Linked DNA regions of Danio rerio. The protein of the gene in region 2 binds, or shares a complex with, the protein of the main gene of each other region. Links are inferred from orthologs where the notes say so. Each region holds a gene or a part of one and is shown on either strand. Other genes may lie near its edges.

What was found.
Region 1: mcm4 (region 2) and gins4 share a complex: the UniProt entries of both Homo sapiens proteins name them as parts of the CMG helicase complex. The link is inferred for Danio rerio from reciprocal best matches to the Homo sapiens genes MCM4 and GINS4.
Region 3: mcm4 (region 2) and gins2 share a complex: the UniProt entries of both Homo sapiens proteins name them as parts of the CMG helicase complex. The link is inferred for Danio rerio from reciprocal best matches to the Homo sapiens genes MCM4 and GINS2.

Annotation. Positions count from the first base shown.
Region 1 is NC_133183.1:62,248,807-62,256,118, reverse strand, and holds part of gins4 (DNA replication complex GINS protein SLD5), read right to left. Parts: intron 3,893-7,312; coding exon 3,806-3,892; intron 3,689-3,805; coding exon 3,575-3,688; intron 3,374-3,574; coding exon 3,276-3,373; intron 1,885-3,275; coding exon 1,796-1,884; intron 1-1,795. UniProt on the Homo sapiens protein: Required for correct functioning of the GINS complex, a complex that plays an essential role in the initiation of DNA replication, and progression of DNA replication forks.
Region 2 is NC_133199.1:39,258,732-39,266,043, forward strand, and holds part of mcm4 (DNA replication licensing factor MCM4), read right to left. Parts: intron 4,155-7,312; coding exon 3,895-4,154; intron 3,682-3,894; coding exon 3,316-3,681; intron 1,939-3,315; coding exon 1,811-1,938; intron 1,238-1,810; coding exon 1,030-1,237; intron 1-1,029. UniProt on the Homo sapiens protein: Acts as a component of the MCM2-7 complex (MCM complex) which is the replicative helicase essential for 'once per cell cycle' DNA replication initiation and elongation in eukaryotic cells.
Region 3 is NC_133193.1:32,043,194-32,050,505, forward strand, and holds part of gins2 (DNA replication complex GINS protein PSF2), read right to left. Parts: intron 4,736-7,312; coding exon 4,621-4,735; intron 4,541-4,620; coding exon 4,441-4,540; intron 1-4,440. UniProt on the Homo sapiens protein: Required for correct functioning of the GINS complex, a complex that plays an essential role in the initiation of DNA replication, and progression of DNA replication forks.

The DNA of each region.
Region 1 (7,312 bases), on a different chromosome or scaffold from region 2:
TATGTTATTGGAGATTTTTTTAGACTGTCATTTGTCCATACTGTACCGTCCCTACTCTTCTCAACGAGCTGCGTGTGATGCCGCCGACCCCTCCCCCGCCTCACAGCACTGACAGGCGGCCCAGTCAGTCCTCTACAGCAGCCTCTCTCATCTGCAGCCCGAGAGCAGATCACCCCTCTGCGTACCGACAACAAATGATTTAGCACAGGCAGTGTAAAGGTATTTCCCTTGTACAGTCAAACCGATCTACTTCTACTTTATTTTAACAATCACAGATATTAGTGACAGTTTCTGAATTTGTCTGAGTTTATTACATATGAGAGATTACTGCACATTCACTACACATCTATAATGACATACTGTATTCAAACAGCAATACATTTAGTTAATAAACATGCTTATATAAAGTGTAGTGCAATTATAAATACCCCTTTATTAACCATAGGGTGTAAAACAAACAGAAACGGTAAAACGTGATGACGTCAGTGATATGCAAATTGGCGTATGACGTATCCCCCCCCCCCCTCTTCATCAGTGGGCCCCGTCAGCGATCCCTGCAGGGGGACTCCGCATTTTGCGCTACGCCACTGTTTCTAATATAAACACACGATTTTCCCGCATGGTAAATAGCTGTTCATGGTGCGTGTATTTTGGGTCCTGGTGATTGCTAATTAAGAACAAAAGCCTTTCTAAAAAATGTATGTGTCGTTGATATGTTATTCTTCATACTTTACAAGTTTTCTACCCCTTTGTGTCATGACTGTGTTTGTCCACCAGGTGCCAGCAACCCCCAATGAACTACAGTGGCTAAAGAACTACATTTCCATACATATTTTCGCGCACACACCCGGTCTGTCATCTACACTGATTTACAACCACAGCTGTCTCCGTTCTCCGTTGATTACCTGGACTATATATTCAGTCATTTATCCTCTGTTTGTCAGTTGGTCGTTGTCGTTTTTTAATGTTATTCCTGATCCTTGCTCTTGTATCTTGTTATAGTCTAGTTCGAGTTTAATCTGTCTTAGTTTCTTGTTTTGTTAGTTTGCTATTTTGTTACTTTGTATTTTTGTCACTTTCACTGCCCTATACATCAATTAAACTGCACTTGGATTCTACACCCGTTTTTTTTGTTCCTGTTTTGGTCGCTCTACCGTGACACTATGAAGATGCCAAATACCAACAACCCGTTATAAGAGAAATATTTTGTGTGCTCATAGCGGAGTCTAACTTTTATTTCTGCAGTCCAGCAGATATTATTTTTATTAAATTATTAATAACAGCTTGCATCACAGTTTTCAAATAAATCGTATATAATTACATGTGTTTGAATGCAAGTGCTTATATTTAAATTAGCGAGCCTTTGTTATTGTGCAGAAACGGGCGGTCAGGTGAGACGTTCGGGGGGCGTGGTTGATTTGGCGTACACACATTTGATTGGAAGCTTGATTCTGCAGCTCCGCCTCTGGCTCCATCAGGCAGTTCTATTGCGCATGCTCCAATTTCAGCAGTGTTTTGCGACAGTTTGTGCCCGTCATGCATTTAAGGCGTTCAATGGGAGCATATTTGTTCACATATTTTTTACAGTCGTTGTTCGGGGGAAAAAAAAATGAATCACTGATTGAATCACCTGGGAGTCGTTAGGTAATCAGGTAAAAATAAACGCATATTATAAGACAATGAAGGTGTTTTTTGACCCTATATGCAGATCAGCCTGTTGTTGGAGACCCCCAAATCCACAACATGACCTTTTAATGCATAATAGGGGCTATTTCAATACAGAAGTGTTTCTCACCGGCCTTCATCATGTCGACGCTCTGCAGGTTTGGTGGCATATGTTTCAAAGCCACGGCTCGCAGGTAAACCTCTGTGTTCGCCAGATACCTGAACACACACACACACACATTGAGTTTTCATGTTTATTGGGGACTTCACCATAGATGTAATGATGTTTCTATTGTATTTACTCTTCCCCAACCCCACCCTCACTGGAAACAATCTGCAAATTTACATCTTACAAAATACTTCATTCTGTCTGATTTATGGGCCACTTTTCCTCAAGGGAACCAAAATAATGTCCCCACAATGTCAAAATGTACTGGAATTGCTGTATTTTATTGTCCCCATAATGTAATGGATATCAGGTACACACTCATTCACACACGCACAGAGACAGACAGACAAACACACACATACACACAAAGACAGACAAACACATATACACACATACACACACACAGACATTTACACACACACTCACACAAAGACACACACACAGATAGACACAAACACACACACAAAGACAAACACACATAGTCACAAACAAAAAACACACAGACACACACATACATAGACAGACGTGCACACACACATACACGCTAACAAACACCCACACATACCAGACACACACACACACACACAGACAAACAGACAGACACACACACACAGACAGACAAACACACAGACACAAACACACATAGACACAAACAAAACACACAGACACACACATACATAGACAGACGTGCACACACACACACACACACACACACATACACGCTAACAGACACACACACACATACATACCAGACACACATACACACAGACACACAGACAAACAGACACAAACACAGACACAAACAAAAAACACACAGACACACACACACATACAGACAGACGTGCACACACTAACAAACACAAACACACACACATACATACCCGACACACACAAATACATACATACATAGACATGTACACACACACACACACACACAAAATTGCAAAAAGACACACACACACAGACACACACACTAACACAAACACACACATACATACCCGACACACACACACACACACATACATACATACATACATACATACATACATACATACATACATAGATATGTACACACACAAACAAAAATGCACAAAGACACACACACACAGACAGACACACACACACAAAAACAGACACACACAGACACAAACAAACACCCACACACACAAAGACAAACACACACACACACACACACACACACAGACACACGCAAAGACAAACACAGACACAAACAGATGCAGACACACACATACATAGACAGACGTGCACACACACAAACAAACAGACACACACACACACACACACACACACACACACACACACACACTTAAATTCTCTCTCTCTCTGTCCTCAATCGCCCTCATCATTCGGTCCAGAAGCGTCTCTCTGACAGACATGAACAGATCCTCAGTGCGACAGTCGCAGATTGCGCTGAACTCACTCTTTAGCGAAGGCGAACTCTTCAGGAGACAGGAACGAGGGGTCTCCATCAGCACGGGACTTCTCCTTCTCCAGAACATGAGGGAAAAACTTCTCGATCTGCAGACGAGAAAACCAGACGTGGACACAACATCAGCCTACAGAACAGATCTGGTGTGAGTCCCGACTGGCGTTTCAGTGTGGAGTTCGCATGCTCTCCCCGTGTTGGCGTGGGTTTCCTCCGGGTGTTTCCCCCACAGTCCCAAACACATGCGCTATAGCGTACTGCCAGTCTTTCTGAATAAATTACGCTCGATTTACCTTCTTGAGTCGGGAGCGCAGGAAGCTGCTGAGAACGAAGCGGATGCGGTCGATCTCCATGCGGTGAACACTGGCCTTCAGGTCTCCTTTCCTCACACGCTGCAGGTTTTCCTCCTAAATCACACCACAAGTCATGATCGATACTGAAACGGTCAATCTGACTCGTCTACAGGCTAACATCCGTCACGCAAAGTTTAATCAGACTGAGAAACACTGCAGACAGACTCATACCATGTGTGTGAGCTGCTCCATCACACACTCCACCAGCTCAGACTTGTTCTCCAACAGTTCTGGAGAAAACTTCTCATTGAGCCAAGCCTGAAACACAAGAGACGCTCATTAGGAGACACTGTTCATCTACTCTGTGATGATGCTCACATTAAAACTGCCTCAAACTAAGCATTAACGAGTACTTTGAGCAAAGGCTCCTGGGGTCTGTTCTTCGTACGTGGATTACTCAGTTAGCTGGATTTGGATATTGATGATTTGACACGATCCAGGATCGTTTCGTTCTTCAAAGCTGATCCGAGAGTTGTTGTCATAGCAACAGTTCTGCTAGGTCAAACCTGGTCGGGAGCAGGTTCAATTCATATAAACAGGATTAGATCGGCTCAGTTCAAGCAAATATAATACAGAAAGTATGTTCTGAATTCTGATATTTTCTTACAGTAGTAGTTATATACACTTGGGAAAATGGTACATATTTTTAACTATATATATATATATATATATATGTATAAAGTTATAGTCATTAATAAAATAAATAAAGTTATACATATTAATAAAACTTATGCAATCTGCACCCTCGAAATGAAAGTACAAAGACTGCCACCTGGTAGTGCGAAGAGAAAACTTATTGATATGAACTTTTTAGATCGCTTTAGTACAAATTGTGTATAATAGAAATGCAGAATATGTTACTTTTTTTAAAGCAATAATACATTTATGCAGTCATAAACATGTTTTAATAGTTAATATGCCATGGATTTGATGCTTCACAAAAGTTGCAGACACCTTTACCAATATCAAAATGCTTTTGTAAACAACCAGTTATTCTTTACACCGATTAAAAAAACAACTACTATAATAAAGAAAATCTTTTCTAAATGTAGAACTAAATACATTGATTTGCATTGAAATACATGATGAAGTGTAAAGCCTGCAGCTCACAACAAATGTGGAAGGTTATTGCGTGTCATATTTAACAAGCCGTTTACTGCTAATTTGATGTAATTTTGCTCACATGGATAATTGAATATTAATCAGATGATGTCATTACGCTGCTGTGCCGTCAGCCAATCGTTGCATTGCTGATCATGATTTCGAGGATGGATAGATCTTTCCTTTACAACACACGCAGCGATCTCAGATCAGTTTATCCAGACATTCTAATCTGATTTGCGAACTTGTTTGAAGAACCAAATTAGCGAGAGATCAGTTATCAAGATTAAAAGATCCAGGATCTGCCAAATCATCTTAGATCATTTAAGCGAGGTAAGAAGAACGGACCCCTGCACTCCGGGACGATTTTGGTTTGCGTTTACAGCAGTGGCGCAGTAGGTAGTGCTGTCGCCTCACAGCAAGAAGGTCGCTGGGTCGAGCCTCGGCTCAGTTGGCGTTTCTGTGTGGAGTTTGCATGTTCTCCCTGCGTTCGTGTGGGTTTCCTCTGGGTGCTCCGGTTTCCCCCACAGTCCAAAGACATGCAGGAGAATGGGTAGGCTAAATTGTCTGTAGTGTATGAGTGTGTGTGTGTGAATGTGTGTGTGGATGTTTCCCAGGGATGGGTTGCGGCTGGAAGGGCATACGCTGCGTAAAAACTTGCTGGATAAGTTGGCGGTTCATTCCGTTGTGGCGACCCCGGATTAATAAAGGGACTAATCTGACAAGAAAATGAAAGAAAATTATTTTAACCTTTAGTTTTTGTCTTTTCACTTGTTTTGGTTAACTATAATAATTTGGTTTGGGCAAAATGTGCTAAGCCACGCCCCCTACCATCGCAAAAAATAAAACTCCGCCCCCCCTAATCAATATTCAGTTTCAGTTGGAAACACATCATTGTACTGAAACTTCCAGCTTTAGGCTGCTTTCACACCTGTGAATCGATTCAGTTGTTCCGAAACAGAGATTTGTTTATCTCAGAGGGTTTAATTTGCAGCGTCCCGCTCAGCTGTCAGGAGAGGTGGTGGTTTGATGGTGATTGACAGGGTGCACGCGCGACGTGTCTGAGGAGAGATGCAGTGGGGAGGGGGGAGAAGGGTGCGTGACGATGCCTATTTGAGGACCGGGAGGGAGACTCGAGATTACCGGGAGATCATCACTCGTTTGCGGGCATCCGGAGACTCGCGAAACTTCCCGCCATGCTCATAATTCTCTCTTCATATAGCCGTAAGCCTATTACATATCCATAAAACACTGTGATGTAACCGCGCTCGGATCGGATCACTTTCTCACTGCAATCAAACCGCTCCAGGGTTCTTTCTAATCGAGCCGAGACCTCCTCACTCAAGCGGTCTCGGAGCGATTACTTTGGCGCGGAACAGAGCGCGATTGCCCTGTTCACATATGCCAAACGAACTGCGCTAACTGGGCAAACGAGACACGTTCCCAAACAAAAGTGTAGGTGTAAAAGCACCCTTAAAGTGCACGTGAAATCAAAATGTACAATCTTATTCTTTAGTTAACCCACTGTTTAAAAAATATCTTCAATCAAAGCCCACAATTGCCATTTGCTTCCACCCTAAATGTTGAACCAAATGCCAGATTTTAATGGTTAATTACAAAAAAATATTATTTTTTCAGTGGATTAACTAAAGAATAAAAGTGTGCGCTAGCAAAATAAACATTGTAGATTTTGACGGACTTTAACCTTGCCCATCATACCATTACGAGGCAATAGCCCCTTTCACACACACAGACCTTTCCGGAAAATTACCGGCAATTTTCCGGAAAGGTTGTATGTGTGAACAGGCCCTTTTTGAAAATACCGGTAAATTCGTTCTGGCTATTTTCCGGAAAGAGAAGTTGTAACATTACCGGCAATTTGCCGGAATGCTGCGCTGTGTGAATGCAGAAGGAAAATTGCCGGAAAGAGCGCGTGCACGTCTAGAACGTGCTGATGTGAGATACCTGCTTTAGCCAATCAGAACAGTCAGACGCATTCACGTGCGCGCGGTTTATGAGAATAAAAGCCTTTGAATATTTTTCCAGACACCTTTAGCTGCTAGATGTTCGTCAGATAACGTTTCTATGTTTCTTCTTAATGCCAACTGTGTAAATAATTATCGATAAAATGTTTATGATAATCCGTTGTTTGTTTACCTTCAAGCTTTGCGTGTGCCCGTGAGCGCCCATAGCGCCAGCACACACACATATCATGAACATCTCGACATGCGAAAGTCTTCCTTTATATGTTTTCATTGGAGTTGTACTCGATTCTGATCCATCCAAAGAGTTTGTAATGTAGTCAAATGTTTACAAACACAAGCGCAGCCGTTTAGAGCTCATTTCTGGTTAATGATGTCAGAATTTATCGGCATTTTGCGATGGATGTGTGAATGCTCTTTTCCGGAAAAATTCCGTAACGTCCTCGCCTGTGTGAACAGCGCTTTTTTGAATTTACCAGGAAAGTCGTTCCGGAAATCTTTTTTGGATATTTACCGGTATCACTGTGTGAAAGGGGCTATGATGCTCAAAACTAAAGCCCCGCCCACTACTCAATATTCAGTTTCAGTTGGAAAT
Region 2 (7,312 bases):
CAGTCATCAGTAACTAAATAAAAAAATAAATAATATACACCTCTAGAAAGAATAGACAAAACAAAGTAAGTAAAGTCTCACTTCTATCACTCTTTAAAAGTTTTGGTTTCAGTTTGTGTCAATTTAAAGGTTCAGTCTGAGCTGATCTTCATTTTTCTGTGTTTGTGGAAAAGCAGGCGAGTCAACCGACCCAATTTATGAGCAGGCAGAGCAGGATTCTTGCGATGACCATCGGCGCAATACCACTGTTTATGAGCCGCAGCTTCAGTGTGAACTTAGTAAAGGCGAGCTTCTTTGGCGATGATATGTCCAGTATTAGATTTAACTTTTAGCGGACATTTGCGCTGAACACGCAGTGAATGCAACGCATCGAGATTCGGGCGCCTTCTCCGAAAAGCACATGGTCGATTGATCTCAGCTGGCGGATCAATATTCACCACATGTCATGATCGCTTTCATCTGCGCCTCAACTTTAGGTGGGGTTTGCAAACCTGTGTGCTTTAAGTTTTCACTCTTCAGCCGTTTGCATTTCCCGTGGTCATAAAAGCTTCTTCCCTGTCACCTGACTGCGGAATATCTTGAGTGATTGACAGCTAATATGAACCAATATAGCGGCAGGGAAGACCGATTTAGCACGTTTTTAGAAAAAATCTAAACAGGTCACACTACAACCATTATCTGCAGTCGCACTAATGCTCCCATATATATTATGAGGTTGCATAGATTATTCTCGGGCGCATTTGCGACCAAAACAGTCGCAATTTCGAGCCCTGACTTCGCATATTTCTGAAATATCTGCAAAAATATTATGGATATTATAGTATTAATAGTCCAAAACTTACATACAGCCCCTTTAATTATAAAAGAGACAACGAACAATTTGATTGCAAAAGAAATCTGACATATGAAATGGCCAATTAAAAAATAAATCAAGATCAGCTAATCACAGTGAAATATCAGTATCGTCCTTAAATTAAAAGTAACAAAGCTGGCAACATATAATGCTGTGCTGTTATAGTGTTTCTATACCTCAATAAGGGCCTGACTGGCTTCTTCACTCAGTCTGGGATGTACAGTTGTGCGAGCGAAGGCGATGTAGTCTTTCAGTACAGCCATGTCCAGATGCTCCTCTTCAATCTGCTCTTCACTCTGATAATACAGAGAGACAAGGTGGTGCGCCAGACGCCTGTCATACGCCTCGTCCTGAGGGTCCAGCATTAGGAAGATCAAATCAAACCTGGAAAAAAAACAGATGCAGAGAGACAATTATTAGACAAAAGAAGAAAAAAAAACATTAAAATAAAAAGCAGCTTATGTTGAACTAATATTATGAATAATTAATAATCTTTGAGATCACAAAAGTAAAAAAAAAATTAAGTTCTTTTATGTAAATTTGCCCTATTTGTTAATAAATGTCTTTAAAGTTAGTTTATAATTTAATTTGACAACTAATTTAAATTAAACACTTCTATACTGACAAAACTAATATTTAATTATATCATCCAAATGTTTTTTTTCTTTACTTTTAAACATTAAAATTATCACATAATTATTGGCATTTCACATAAACACTGCACTTAGGAAGTTGGTTCCCAAATAATATTAAGCAGCACAACACTTTGCATTACAAAAATGTAATACATCCTAAAAGAAAACATCTATTTTAAACTGTAATTATTAAACATTACATTTTTACTTTATTTTTAATCTAATTAATGTTAACTAATATTTTTCAAAACACATTGTTTTAAATATTCAGCAGATGATTAATATACATTATCCGCTATAAATACGGTTGTTTAATTTGTACCTGGACAGCAGTGTGTGAGGCAGCTGAATGTTCTCTATCGTTGTCTTTTTGGGGTTCCACTGAGACTCCACCGGATTGGCTGCTGCGAGGATGGAGGTCCGAGCATTAAGCTGACAAATAATCCCAGCCTACGAAACACACACACAATCCTGCATTAATCATCAGTTCAAACAAATGCATTGCAATTCCAAACCCAATCCTTCATGCACCTTCAGATACATGTCGGTATTCATTAATTCGATATATTGTGATAATGAACATGCACAATATTGATATCACAGGTACCTCAAAACACCATGATTAATTGTTTAAACATTTGAGTGCCTTTTAAGAAAATGTTGTATTAGTTTGTTGTATTAGTATTGGTTAGGTTATTTTCAAAAAGTAAGACTTACTGAATCTGAGACTATTTATAGGCCTTTTGTTCATGAATTCTGACTCATTAAAGTCCATGTAATGATAACTACAAAAACATTTATTAATCTTAGGTGATGTTAATTTGTAGTTAATGCTTAATTTATTGAAATGCTTTCATTTTCTTTATTTCTTTTTTTCAATTTCTCATTGCATCCTGGCCAAATCTGCCCACTGGCCTCTGTCTATCATGGCCTTCTAACCATCCTCATATCATAATGGGTTCATGGTCTCCTCTCCACCAATCAGCTGGTGTGTGGTCTGGCACAATATGGCTGCCATCACGTCATCCTGATGGATGCTCCACACTGGTGGTGGATGAGGAGACCCCGCCCCCCAATGTGTAAAGCGCTTTGAGTGTCCAGAAAAGCGCTATATAAATGTATAGAATTATTATTATTATTATTATTTAAATCTAACGTCGAAATTGCTTCATTAAATGTGATAAACAGACTTATTTGGTTGTATTTTTTGCGAACGTTGACATAACTATAATAGGCGACGCAGTGGCGCAGTAGGTAGTGCTGTAGGTAGTTCTGTGTGGAGTTTGCATGTTCTCCCTGCGTTTGCGCGGGTTTCCTCTGGGTGCTCCGGTTTCCCCCACAGTCCAAAGACATGCGCTATAGGTAAATTGAGTAGGCTAAATTGTCTGTAGTGTATAGTGTGTGTAAATGAGTGTGTATGGATGTGTCCCAGAGATGGGTTGCAGCTGGAAGGGCATCCGCTCCATAAAACATGTGCTGGATAAGTTGGCGGTTCATTCCGCTGTGGCGACCACTGATTAATAAAGTGACTAAGCCAAAAAGAAAATGAACGAATGAATAACTATATTGCATTTTCTCATTCTTGATTTTAACGAATTATTTTAACGGTTTATGAAAGAGAATTTATTGTAAAGTGTTACCTATTTTACTTTATCATCCTTTTGCAATTTAATGTGTTTAAAACATTTATTTTATCTCAACATGTGTATATATAATAAAGCATTTTTGTAACTATACTTGTTAAATTACTGCAGCTTGGGTCAATACTGTGATGAAACGTATATAGTTAAAAAACTAAGGTAATCAGATACGTATAAGCCTATGCACCTTAGCAATAGAGAGCGTCTGCTGCTCCATGACCTCGTGCAGCACAGATCTGGTGTTGTCGCTCATCTTGTCGAACTCGTCGATGCAGCAGATGCCATTATCGCTGAGCACGAGCGCTCCGGTCTGCAGGACCAGCTGTCGGGTTTCAGGATCCTTCATCACGTAGGCTGTGAGACCAACGGCGCTGGATCCTTTCCCGGACGTGTACTGACCGCGAGGAACCAGGTTGTACACGTACTGCAGCAGCTGGGATTTACTGGTGCCCGGATCACCACACAGCAGGATGTTGACTTCAGCACGGAAGTTTCCTCGGCCCGTCTGAGTGAAGTCCTTACGCGTCCCGCCAAATAACTGCAACAGGATGCCCTGGAAAACATCAACACCATCAACTTGTGTCCTGACAGCATATTCCTTGATGTAAAGGTCTCGTGAAGTGCTTTAAAATGTGCATTTTTATTCGATGACTGACGTAATCTCAATCAACACATGAAGACGGAGTGGGACAAGTTCGCAAGTGGAGGAGCAATTCAATTACACTCAAAACAACTTCATCAATTTAGAGTTTCCCATCATACTGACCTTCTTGATGTCCTCGTGTTCGTAGATGCTGGGAGCCAGAGCAGAGGACAGGCGCTCATAGACGTCAGGTTTAGCGGCTAGCTCTTTTAGCAGAGCGACTCGTTCTTTAGTGAAGAGTTTCTGCTCTCCGTCCTCGTCCAGTCCATGCAGACGCTTCTCGTCAGTCTTGCGGAAGTGAATGGCGTCAATGTGGGTCTTGTAAACAGACTTCACCTGGCTCTGCCGTGGGTTCAGACGCATCGGGGCAGCTCTGTAGATGCCTGAGCACAATAAAAGAAGAGTTGCTCAGTCATTTTGCCAAACGAAAGACAAAAACATGAGTGTAAAAAAATACAAAAAAAATGTACCAAAAAAAAAAAAAAAAAAACAGCCTATGCCGGTTCTTATAAAGGATTCAGTCAGTGTTTTCATTTTGTAACCTAAGCCCCCGTTTACACTGCCAGTTAAATGTGACCCAATTCCGATTTTTTGCTCATATGTGACGCAGATCGGATCTGTTCTACGACTGAGTAAACACAAAAAAAAAAAAAAAGGCATGCATTCGGATGTTCAGAGATCGGTTTCAGGCCTCCTTCGCATTGGGAAATAAATCAGATTTAGATCGGATATGTGACAATGCGACTGTCATGTAAACAGGCAGATCGGATTTATTGAGGCATTCCGTTCTGTACATCATTAAACTTGCGACAATGTGGTGCTTCTCCGCAGTTTAATGACAGAAAGAAGAGCGTGTGTGGAGATGCAGACGCGGTAAACAACATCAGAGGAAACACAGAGGAGGAAGTGGTCAGTCGACACCATTTGCTCCCAGCAGACCCGAGATCTCTCTCGTACCCACACATTCCTCTGAATGGTGGAGGACATCATAAAGCATATAAACCATAAGCGCAAGCTGCGATGACGGCCCTTTTCCTCCTCCACCACAAAATCATTTTAAAGTTGGGCGAACTTCGTGTTGTAACTTTTGCTTTTTGTCACTATTAATACACATAGAACAACTTTATTCTCTCTAACACCAGTGCGCACACAGGCAAAGGCTACATATTTAACTACACACACACACATCAGTGCCATACCATTATTACTACGTGGGGGTAAATCTGGACTAAACCATTCACTGCTTATACTACACTTCGCAGAGCTAAAAACAAGACAATTTCTTCCATCGTGGCTAGTGTGGCATAGATGCTAGAACCCGGCTTTATGCATGCGCGACAACATAAATTGTATGGCAAGTGTAAACGAGTGAATTGGATATGGGTCACAATTAAAACAACGTGTAAACAGACAGGCAAACAAATCAGATATAGGCAACAAATTGGAATTGGGCATCAAGACCAAACAGTGTAAACGGCGCCTAAATTAATAATTTAATTGAAAAAATTGTTAGGGCAGGCCTATTTATTTTATTCATTTAATTTAGTTTATTCTGTTTTTCTATGCTGTTGGAAATACTGCAGGTGTGTGAAGATACTCTGTTGTTATGTTCGCATGTTAAAATAAATCAGTGTTTAAAATGCAATATTTAATGTGTCAGACACAACAGAGACGTCAAATTTTTTTAAACTAAATGCTAATTTAATATTAATATGACCAGTTAACAGGTAATATTTGATTAATGAGCGGCGGTTGTCGGTAAGCAAAATTAACCAAAATGAGCATCCCTACTTCACAGGGGCGTAAATCCCAGGGGGAAAAGGGGGGACATGTCCGTTCCTATCCGAGGCTTGTAATTCTCCATAAATCTGCTGCATTAACGATTGAAATTACTTATTTGGGGTGTCAAAATTAATTGTTTCTTCGGTGCACCGCGATGCAGACGCGGACAATAAGGTATCGGTTCCGTAATAATCATAACCGGTTATTATGTACTGATGTCACGTCATTGATCTCCTATGCGCTCTGTCACGAGGGAGGTGAGCGCGAGTATTTTTAACACTCAGCCAACTCAGGGCCGGTCTGTGGCATAGGCACCATAGGCAAATGCTAAGGGTGCTGTATATCCAGGGGGGCGCCAGAAAGGAGCGTGGTTCAGTTGGTTTTGTTTTCGATATTCCTGACACGCATTCAGCTTTAGACGGCATTAACTCATAAACCTCCTACCCTAAAAAGATCTAAAGTGTGTTTCCTACAAAAAGACAAAGCTGGTTATGTTCCACAGCTGTCTTTCTTTTTTTTCGCTCGACATTACGAGCACTGCTCTGTTTAAGCCCTCGCAATACGTGTTTAGCCGGGAGAGCTCGCGTGGAGAGGAGCTCTCAGAAAGGGACCGTCTGAAAAGTGCTTTTTTTTCTTTTTTCTGCTCCGCTCAGCGCAAGCTCTCCCTGTTGCAAGGGCTTAAGTGTGTGTGTGTGTGTGTGTGTGTGTGTGTGTGTGTGTGTGTGTGTGTGTGTGTGTGTGTGTGAGCGTGTTTCTTTGGTCCTGTCTATGTTTGTGTATGTGTTTGAATGAGAGACAGTGTGGTGCTGTGTGTCTGTGTGTTTATACAGACAGCTTGTTATAGCCTCCCCCCTAAAATATAACACTGTATATGGAAAGCATCGTCAATACACCGAGATATCGAATTGAACCGAAGGCATGATAATCGTAACCGAACCAAACCGTGAGACCAGTATAGGTTCACACCTCTATTACTTATCTAGTTAACGTTAGCTTGTTGCTAACACTAAAGCCATTTCCCATGCATTGTTTAATTTGTGACGACTTGGCATAATGTTAACTTAACATTAACGACCACAATTAGCATATTGTTTTGCTGTGTATTTGCTAAATGAGCGCTGTGCTACACTGTGCACACTGTGCACACTAACCCCACTGTATTATTCTATAATCAGTTTCTATTCAGTTTTAAGTAACTCAATTAATTTAAAATTAAAATGTTAACCTTTTTTAGTTATTTGTTTTTGTGATTATTTTTATGATAGTTTTGCATTCTTTATGTAAAGCACTTCGAATTACCATTTAAATGTGCTACAACATAAATAAACTTGCATTGCAGTGTCATGTAATGAATAAAATGACAGAGAAAATTGAAATAAGATAATTTTTCAGTGCAGCTAAACGCCAAGTACAAAAACTTCACGTATTAAGGCAATTTGGCTTTAAGAATGAGTGCTTATGAAAATACTAATGTCACATTATCAATCACAGGCAAAGGAGAAAGAAATGACTGAGGAACAGGCAGGGCAGGGTCAGTCAGATGTACAGTGTCAAGTAAGGGTGTTGTGCTTTATTTAAGGGATCATGACAATTCTTTAGGGATGAACAATTTTTTTATGTTTTCGTAGTTGTGGCTGTTTAGCAGATGAACCTCGCAGGTTTAATGATTTACAATATGATCGGTCATTTTAACAAGTGTAATGTAAACAAGTTAGTTATTATGAGTATGGAAAACGTCTTTTCCTGCATTTATTCTGCT
Region 3 (7,312 bases), on a different chromosome or scaffold from region 2:
GCTTTATTCGATGCGCAGCAGGAAAAAAAAGTCTTTCAGCAGCGCATGTAGTCATTGGTAAAGTTCTCTCCCGGATCAGAGCAAGTGTTTGTGCTACCAAATACAGCGCTGCGTGCAAACTCACATTCAACCAGGTGAATTAAAGGTCTCATTGCCTAGGATTTCAATCAAATGAATCAAACTCTAGCCATGAATAAAACAATAGGCTATTTTATTATTTTAGATGAGGGGTTAGTAATTATATCATACATGGTTAATTGTATTCATGTCAATGAAATAATAACTTAAAATAGTTATATAATACTTATTAATAGTTATTACAGTAATAGTTAAATAAAATATCTTCGTAAGAATGTGAGGAGTTCTTCACTTCTCTGCCAGAGACTGCTCTATGGTTTTAAAACCCTTTTTAAACTCTACGGTTTAGACCTGGTTTACTTTTTTTCATAATAAATAAAGTGTAGTCCACTTGTGGATGTCTGATGACTAGCGTGCTTACGCGACGTCAACACACAGAATCTGTCGGCACAGTTCAGCACAGTTGTCTAACCGTGCAGAGAATTCCGGGCCGAGAACGGTTTGTAATCGTGTCGCGCTGTTCCAGGCTCAGTGGAGAAACAATTGTAACCATACTGAAGTGTTCTTAGAACAGTTCAGCTCGATAGTGGAAAAGCAGCTAAAGACTGTAGAATATGTCACTCGTTTACTTTGAATGGGGAAAAGCGTAACAGCAAAGACTATAGAATGCACAAGACATGTTACTTGTATCTTTGTGAATGGAGAAAAGTGTAACGTCAATATGGTGAATAAAGCCCCACATACTAGTTCAGGAGCCAATCATCGATCGCTATAAAACCTGATTTATACTTCTGCATCAGGTGACCGGCGTAACCCACGGCGCATGCAACGCGCGTGGCTGTGCATTTATACTTCTGCGCGCTGTCTCTGTCGGTCTGCATTAACACTTCCGAAATGCTAGTTGGCAGTGAGGTGTAAATGTTCCTCTGTGTCGAGTTTCTTCGCTGCTTTTTTGCTTTTCCTGAACACTTCAGGGATGTACAAGTGGCTCAAACTCGCTCATTTTAAGGCAGGAACCGGCGGACGTGCAACAACTTTAACTATGAGGTAAACACAAAACAAAACTTTCCATCGGGAGCTCCTTCACGGGACTCCAATCTTGTAAACAATTGCTCGCGCCATTTGCGCGGCTCTCGGTCCCGCCCAGACTCATCAGCGCTACCAAGCCGACCAATCACAGAGCTTACGCTACGCGTCGTTGCGACGTGTAGTTACAATTTTTGAGAGGTGCACGTCAGTGACGGCGACGGCCACGGCGAAGGGCTATGCGTCATACGCTGGCGTTTGACGCAGAAGTATAAATCAGCCTTAAGGCAAATAACGCCCGCCTTCTAGTACAGGAGCCAATCATCAATCGCTGGAGACCAGTGGTAGGGAACCTATGGCTCGAGAGCCACAAGTGGCTCTTTGACCAAAAATACGTAGCTCTCCAACTGTCTCCTTTCAATAATATTTTACAGCTTAAAAAATTATAAATGTCACTCAGTTTTCTATTGAAAATAAAATTACATTTCCTTTTTTATTGTATTTATTTACAGAAAAATTTATAAGAAATAAGCAAACAACTTAAGGGGCCCTATCATACACCCGGCGCGATAAGTCACAAGACGTGTTTGCCCCGACGTGTTGCTATTTTTAGACCAGCGCAACCTTAATTTTCCAGTTTTCTGCCGCATTGTTTAAAAAGCAAATCCATTTGCGCCACTTTGTGGACTCATGGGTGTTCCGCTCCAGAAAACAGGTGTGTTAAGGCACATTGTTTGGTGTTGTTTAATTTGAGAAACTAAAATAGACTGAGCATTAGACCAGCTGAAAGGTCTAAAGTCCAGCACAGAGCGAGTCAGGTGTCCACCTCGCTTACACATTGCTTAAAACCAAAGGAAGTACAACTATACACAAATATCTGTACAACTGAAAAAGAATTAAAGGATTAAAATATTACAAAAATTTGAATTTTCTACATAAACATATAAACCTTCATACCTTTATCTCGGGAGGCTTTTTTCAGTTTATTTACAACAACTTGCTTTTTAATAATGTTATAACTATTAGTAGTATTATTTATTATATGCGCATTATATTTGTTTTATTAAAAAGATTTGTCCATCTGTCGGGTTTTGGACCATATGGGGCATAGCACGTGTGTTAGTATATAATTCAGTTTTTTTGACCACACTTTGTTATTATTGTTCATTTATTTATAGCTTTAGACTTCGTGCCTAGATCGTTAAAATAGAACCCTACACTTCTATAACCTCACGCATGAAAATTCAAACAACATTTATGATGATGTCAAAAAGAAAAAGTTCTATAAATTGTCCATTCTTTGTTCATAAACTTGCTCAACATGTGATGCTTCATATTTGTTTATTTTTGAGTTGTGCATGTACATAAATAAAGGTGTTGTTTAAACCTGTATTGTTTATATCCAATAGGTCTTTAAAAAACTGCATTTTAAAAAAAAAAAAAATCAAAAATGGCTCTTTGCCGAAAAAAAGGTTCTCAACCCCTGCTATAGACTGACGATACTCCGGGGAGAGGCTCAGACCAGGCGTGAGTTTCTGCAGATTTTGTTTGATTCAAACACTTAGAAATACAAACTAAAGAGACCGTTCTTGTTTAATTTTATTGGCGATTCCTAATATGGAGTTTAATCGTAAGCGTATATCAATATGGCGAATGAAGCCCCACCTTCTAGTGCAGGTGCCAATTATTGATCGCTATAGACTGATGATTCCCCGGGGAAGGGGCTTAGGTCAGACATGAGTTTCTGCAGATTTTGTGTGATTCAAATGTTTAGAAATGAAACTAAAGTGACAGTAGTTGTTGTTTTATTTTATTGGTGACTCCTGATATGAAATTTAATCTTAAGTTTAGCAAGCAATTTTGAGCATACTGCCCGAGAGCCGTTTCAAAGATGGCACCAACAAAGTTGGTGGTTCATTCCGTTGTGGTGACCCCTAATTAATAAAGGAACTAAGCCAAAAAGAAAATGAACGAATAAATAAAATGCAGTGTATCTGATGCTTTAGATTATGCTATCTACATACATTTGTATATACTGTAGAAAGTAGGGCTGCAACCGTTCAAACTTCTCACAGTTCCGTAAATATAACAGTTTTGGTATGATATGTGCTGTTTAGAAAGAAAAATGGCTCCAAACAAATTTAAAAAACAAATTGAACACCTATTTATTGAATAACGGACATCTAACAACTCAACTTATAAAATATAAAAATACAAGCAGTTTTTGTCCTCCTGCAAAAAAATAAGTAAATAAAAAATTTAACATTTTAATCAAAGATCTGTATAGTTTTCAAAATTAACATAAATGACCCAGTGTAAGCTATTTTATTTTAACAATTATAGGCCAGGGTTTTGCAAGAAAACCAGCATTTGTTTTTTTTTTGTTTGTGAATTTACATTGAGTGACTGAAGGCAATGTACTGTGTTGTGGTCCCACTTGCACTTTCGTGGTTTCTCTCCTTCACACAGACACGATATAAATTCAAGAACTCAACACACTGAGATGTGAGGAAAGTTGACGTCAGCGGAGTGAGTGTGGTAGAGAGTTCCAGAGTTTGGGTGCAATAACACTAAATGATCTGCCCCCCATTGAAGAGAGGCGGTACCGAGGGACAGCGAGAAGGCCAGAGTCAGCGGAACGTAATGAACGAGTTGGGGTGTAGGGGACAAGTATGCTGCAGAGATAGGAGGGAGCTAGGCTATTTAGGGATCTAAATGCAAGGAGGAGAATTTTGAATTTAATGCGATAAGCAACTGGGAGCCAATGGAGGTCGTACAAAATTGGGGTTGTGTGAGCAGAACGTTTGGTATAAGTGGTATAAGGAAAATACGTACTGTTTCTCAATTCTAAAACTGTATTTGCACGCAATTGACAAATAATCACAGGAAAATTAAACTTTAGTAACAAGGCAGCAGTGGCCCGATCGGGCCAGTAACGATCCTGTCTACTGTCCCGAGCATCTCACACGCTGGCCCCGGGCCATCGGGCAGTCCTTATTGTTGAGCCCTGTAATCTAAAGTGTACAAGGCAGTATTGCTGCAGTTGTTTTTATCCCCAAACCAAAATAAAAAATGTATATTTTTAACTGTGGATCACAGGACACACCAAATCATAGGAGGATAACAGGACATTTCACATTTTACCGAGAACCCCAAATAGTGAAGGATTTAAAGATCGTTGTCATTTTAGTGGCGACACAATTATATGAACAAATAGAAATAGATCCGTTTTCACAATTATGCATCATGCATGAAATGACCAGGTGTAAACAGCCTCAATGAGACACACTCTGACATTACATTAAAAAACAAGGCTGAAGGAGATCTGATACTCACTGGTTGAGTAATAATTTGGTCAGCTCCATGTAATATGGATTTGGGATGGGAGTAAAAGTGTCTAATTTCCTCTCCTGTTCACGGATGTCTTCTAGTTTGTCTGAAAATGAAAAGATCAGCAGCGTTTAGAGCCTGCCTTCAGAATAGATGGTGTCCCAGCACAGACAGACTGAAACTCACCTGTGTCCATCCATTCTGGAGGAACTATCCTGCATTTCTGCCGTTGTTTAAGATTGAGGGCCAACCAGACAGGAACTTCAACAGGCAGACCTGGGTTGAACGGGCCTAAATCTCCCTGGAAAAATTAATCAATAAATCAGATACATACTCAAGTAGCTAGCTGTAAGTGACCAAAAAAGTATGGTCTAAACAAAACCTGTAATTCAGAGATGGCACAAAACATGCTATCTTAATCCCCTTTCCTTTATTTCAATTTAGTCCATTATTTATCATGGATCGCCACAGAGAAATGAATCCCCAACTATTCCAGCAAATGTTTTATGTAGCGGATGTCCTTCCAGCCACAACCCAGTACTAGAAAACAGCCATACACTCTCACATTCACACACACACTCATACACTACAGCCAACTTTGTTTAGCCAATTCACCTGTACCACATGTCTTTGGACTGTGTGGGAAATCGGAGCACCCAGAGAAAACTCCACACAAAAGGTGGGACTCAAACCAGTGACCTTTTTGCTGTGAGGCGACTGTGCAAACCCCTGAGCCACCGCCCAATAAGCCATATGAATAAAGAATTTAACATTAAGTATATAGGACATTCTACCAGAAACGTATATTTTCATAAATTTATATTTTATAAAAAAAAATTATAATTATTTTTTTACATATATTTATTTACATATATTTATATAAAATGTAACAGGGCCAGACCTTTAAGCTTGTCCTACTTATAAAATCATACAAAAACAAGCATAAAATCATACAACTCAATGATAGAACACATCGTTGATCACTGTCAGCTTCTCCATCAAATGATGTCACTTCCGAGTCATAGCCTTAAAGGTGTATTGCACGCTTTTTTTGTTAAAGTTCATGCAAACAGGAGTGACCAAAACATGAGGACAATTATAAGTGTATTTGTATTATATATTTGTAGTATTTATTTGTAGAATGTAATTATAATTTCATGTTTTTAATCAATTGATGTGATTGCTAACAACTTTAACTTGCAATTACTACAACAGTTTTTAGCATGACAAAACTATTAAAGCTGAGGACAAGGACCCTTTTCACATTTCTAGGTTTCTCAGTAATGGAAGGCGTCACAGTTGGGTAAACTTAAAGTGTAGTAAATTAGAGAGTACAACAAATAATCTTTATTACAATCCTATTTGCTGAAATGATAAAAACTCCATGATGGTGTTATCAAAACTATCAGACTGATGACGGCAGCCAGAGGAAAGAATAATGTCAAATTTACTTTTAACCCCATAGACGCTGTAAATTTGTACAGAGTAAAATTTGTACATTTGTAAAGTTTTTAATGAAGAACAAAAATCTGAAAACCAAATGACATATTCCTTCACAGAAAAACTCAAAAAATCCAGTCCATTTTAAAAAATATTTGGAATAAAATACTTTTTATTCACTGTATTTATGTTTTTATTTCAGGGACAGACAATGTACAATTCTGGTAGAATGTCCCTAATATCTCAAGCGGCTTACTTGGAATAAACATTTAAACATGGTTACAAGCATTGACTCAAGACATTTGGCTTCGCACATCTTTTCACAAAATGTACTTTTGCTTGCTGTAATTAAACCTTTTAACACTGTCAGAGATTAAAATAAAATGTATTGTCTAGTATAAAACATAGACTATGAACTATATTTATCTATTAAGACACACATTATTTGTGTGTGTGTGCGTGAGAGAGAGCAATTCCATGCAAACGTCAACCTTGCCATGAAAAGTTTTTGCCAAAATAGCAAAATCGTTTCTTCATTTTTTGTGCAAGCAGGTACTTTACAGCACTTTAAAAATACTCAAAAATGTCTCTGTGAATGTTCTCAAATAATTATATTTGATTCACCAAAATCAATCACAAGTGCCAATGTCACATCTGTTACATCCATAACAAAGCTTTTCCCTCACAAATGCAAAAATGTCAAATCAAATCAATAGTTTTAGTACTATTTTGAGCCAACTCTTCTCCTTTTGATTATCATTATTTCTGTTGGATTGAGATTAATTTACAAAATTTTTACAAAGTATGTTGTATACTGTAAACTCACTAACTTTTTTGTCACATACATAGCGCCTGTTTATTTTCCTCATTTAAAGTATAAATTTTTTTTTACAGATTGATCTTTTTCTGATCTCATAACTCTTTGTCAGTTGTTCTGGAAAATATAATTAAATGTTTCAATATAATGTTACCATATACTTTCTCTGTGAATTTATGTTTTGAGATTTTACTGCAAATGTCACATCCATAACGCTGGAATTGCTCATGTATGTAAATATATATATATATATATATATATATATATATATATATATATATATATATATATTTTTTTTTTTTTTTTTTTTTTTTTTTTTTTGGCAAGAACCAAAACACATTGTAAGTGCTGGATATACACACTACTAATCAAAAAAATGTACAGATCATTTGAATGTGGTCATGTCATTGGCCCATAAACATTTCCTGCTTTTTATCCAGTGTTGGGGAGTAACTAGTTACATGTAACGCCATTACGTAATTTAATTACAAAATAAAAGTAACAGTAACTAGTTACAGTTACTAAGAAAAATATGTAATTAAATTACAGTTACTTTTGAAAATGGTAAAAATTACAAATGGGGTTACATCTAATATTTTTCTTTAAATCTCTGTGATATGT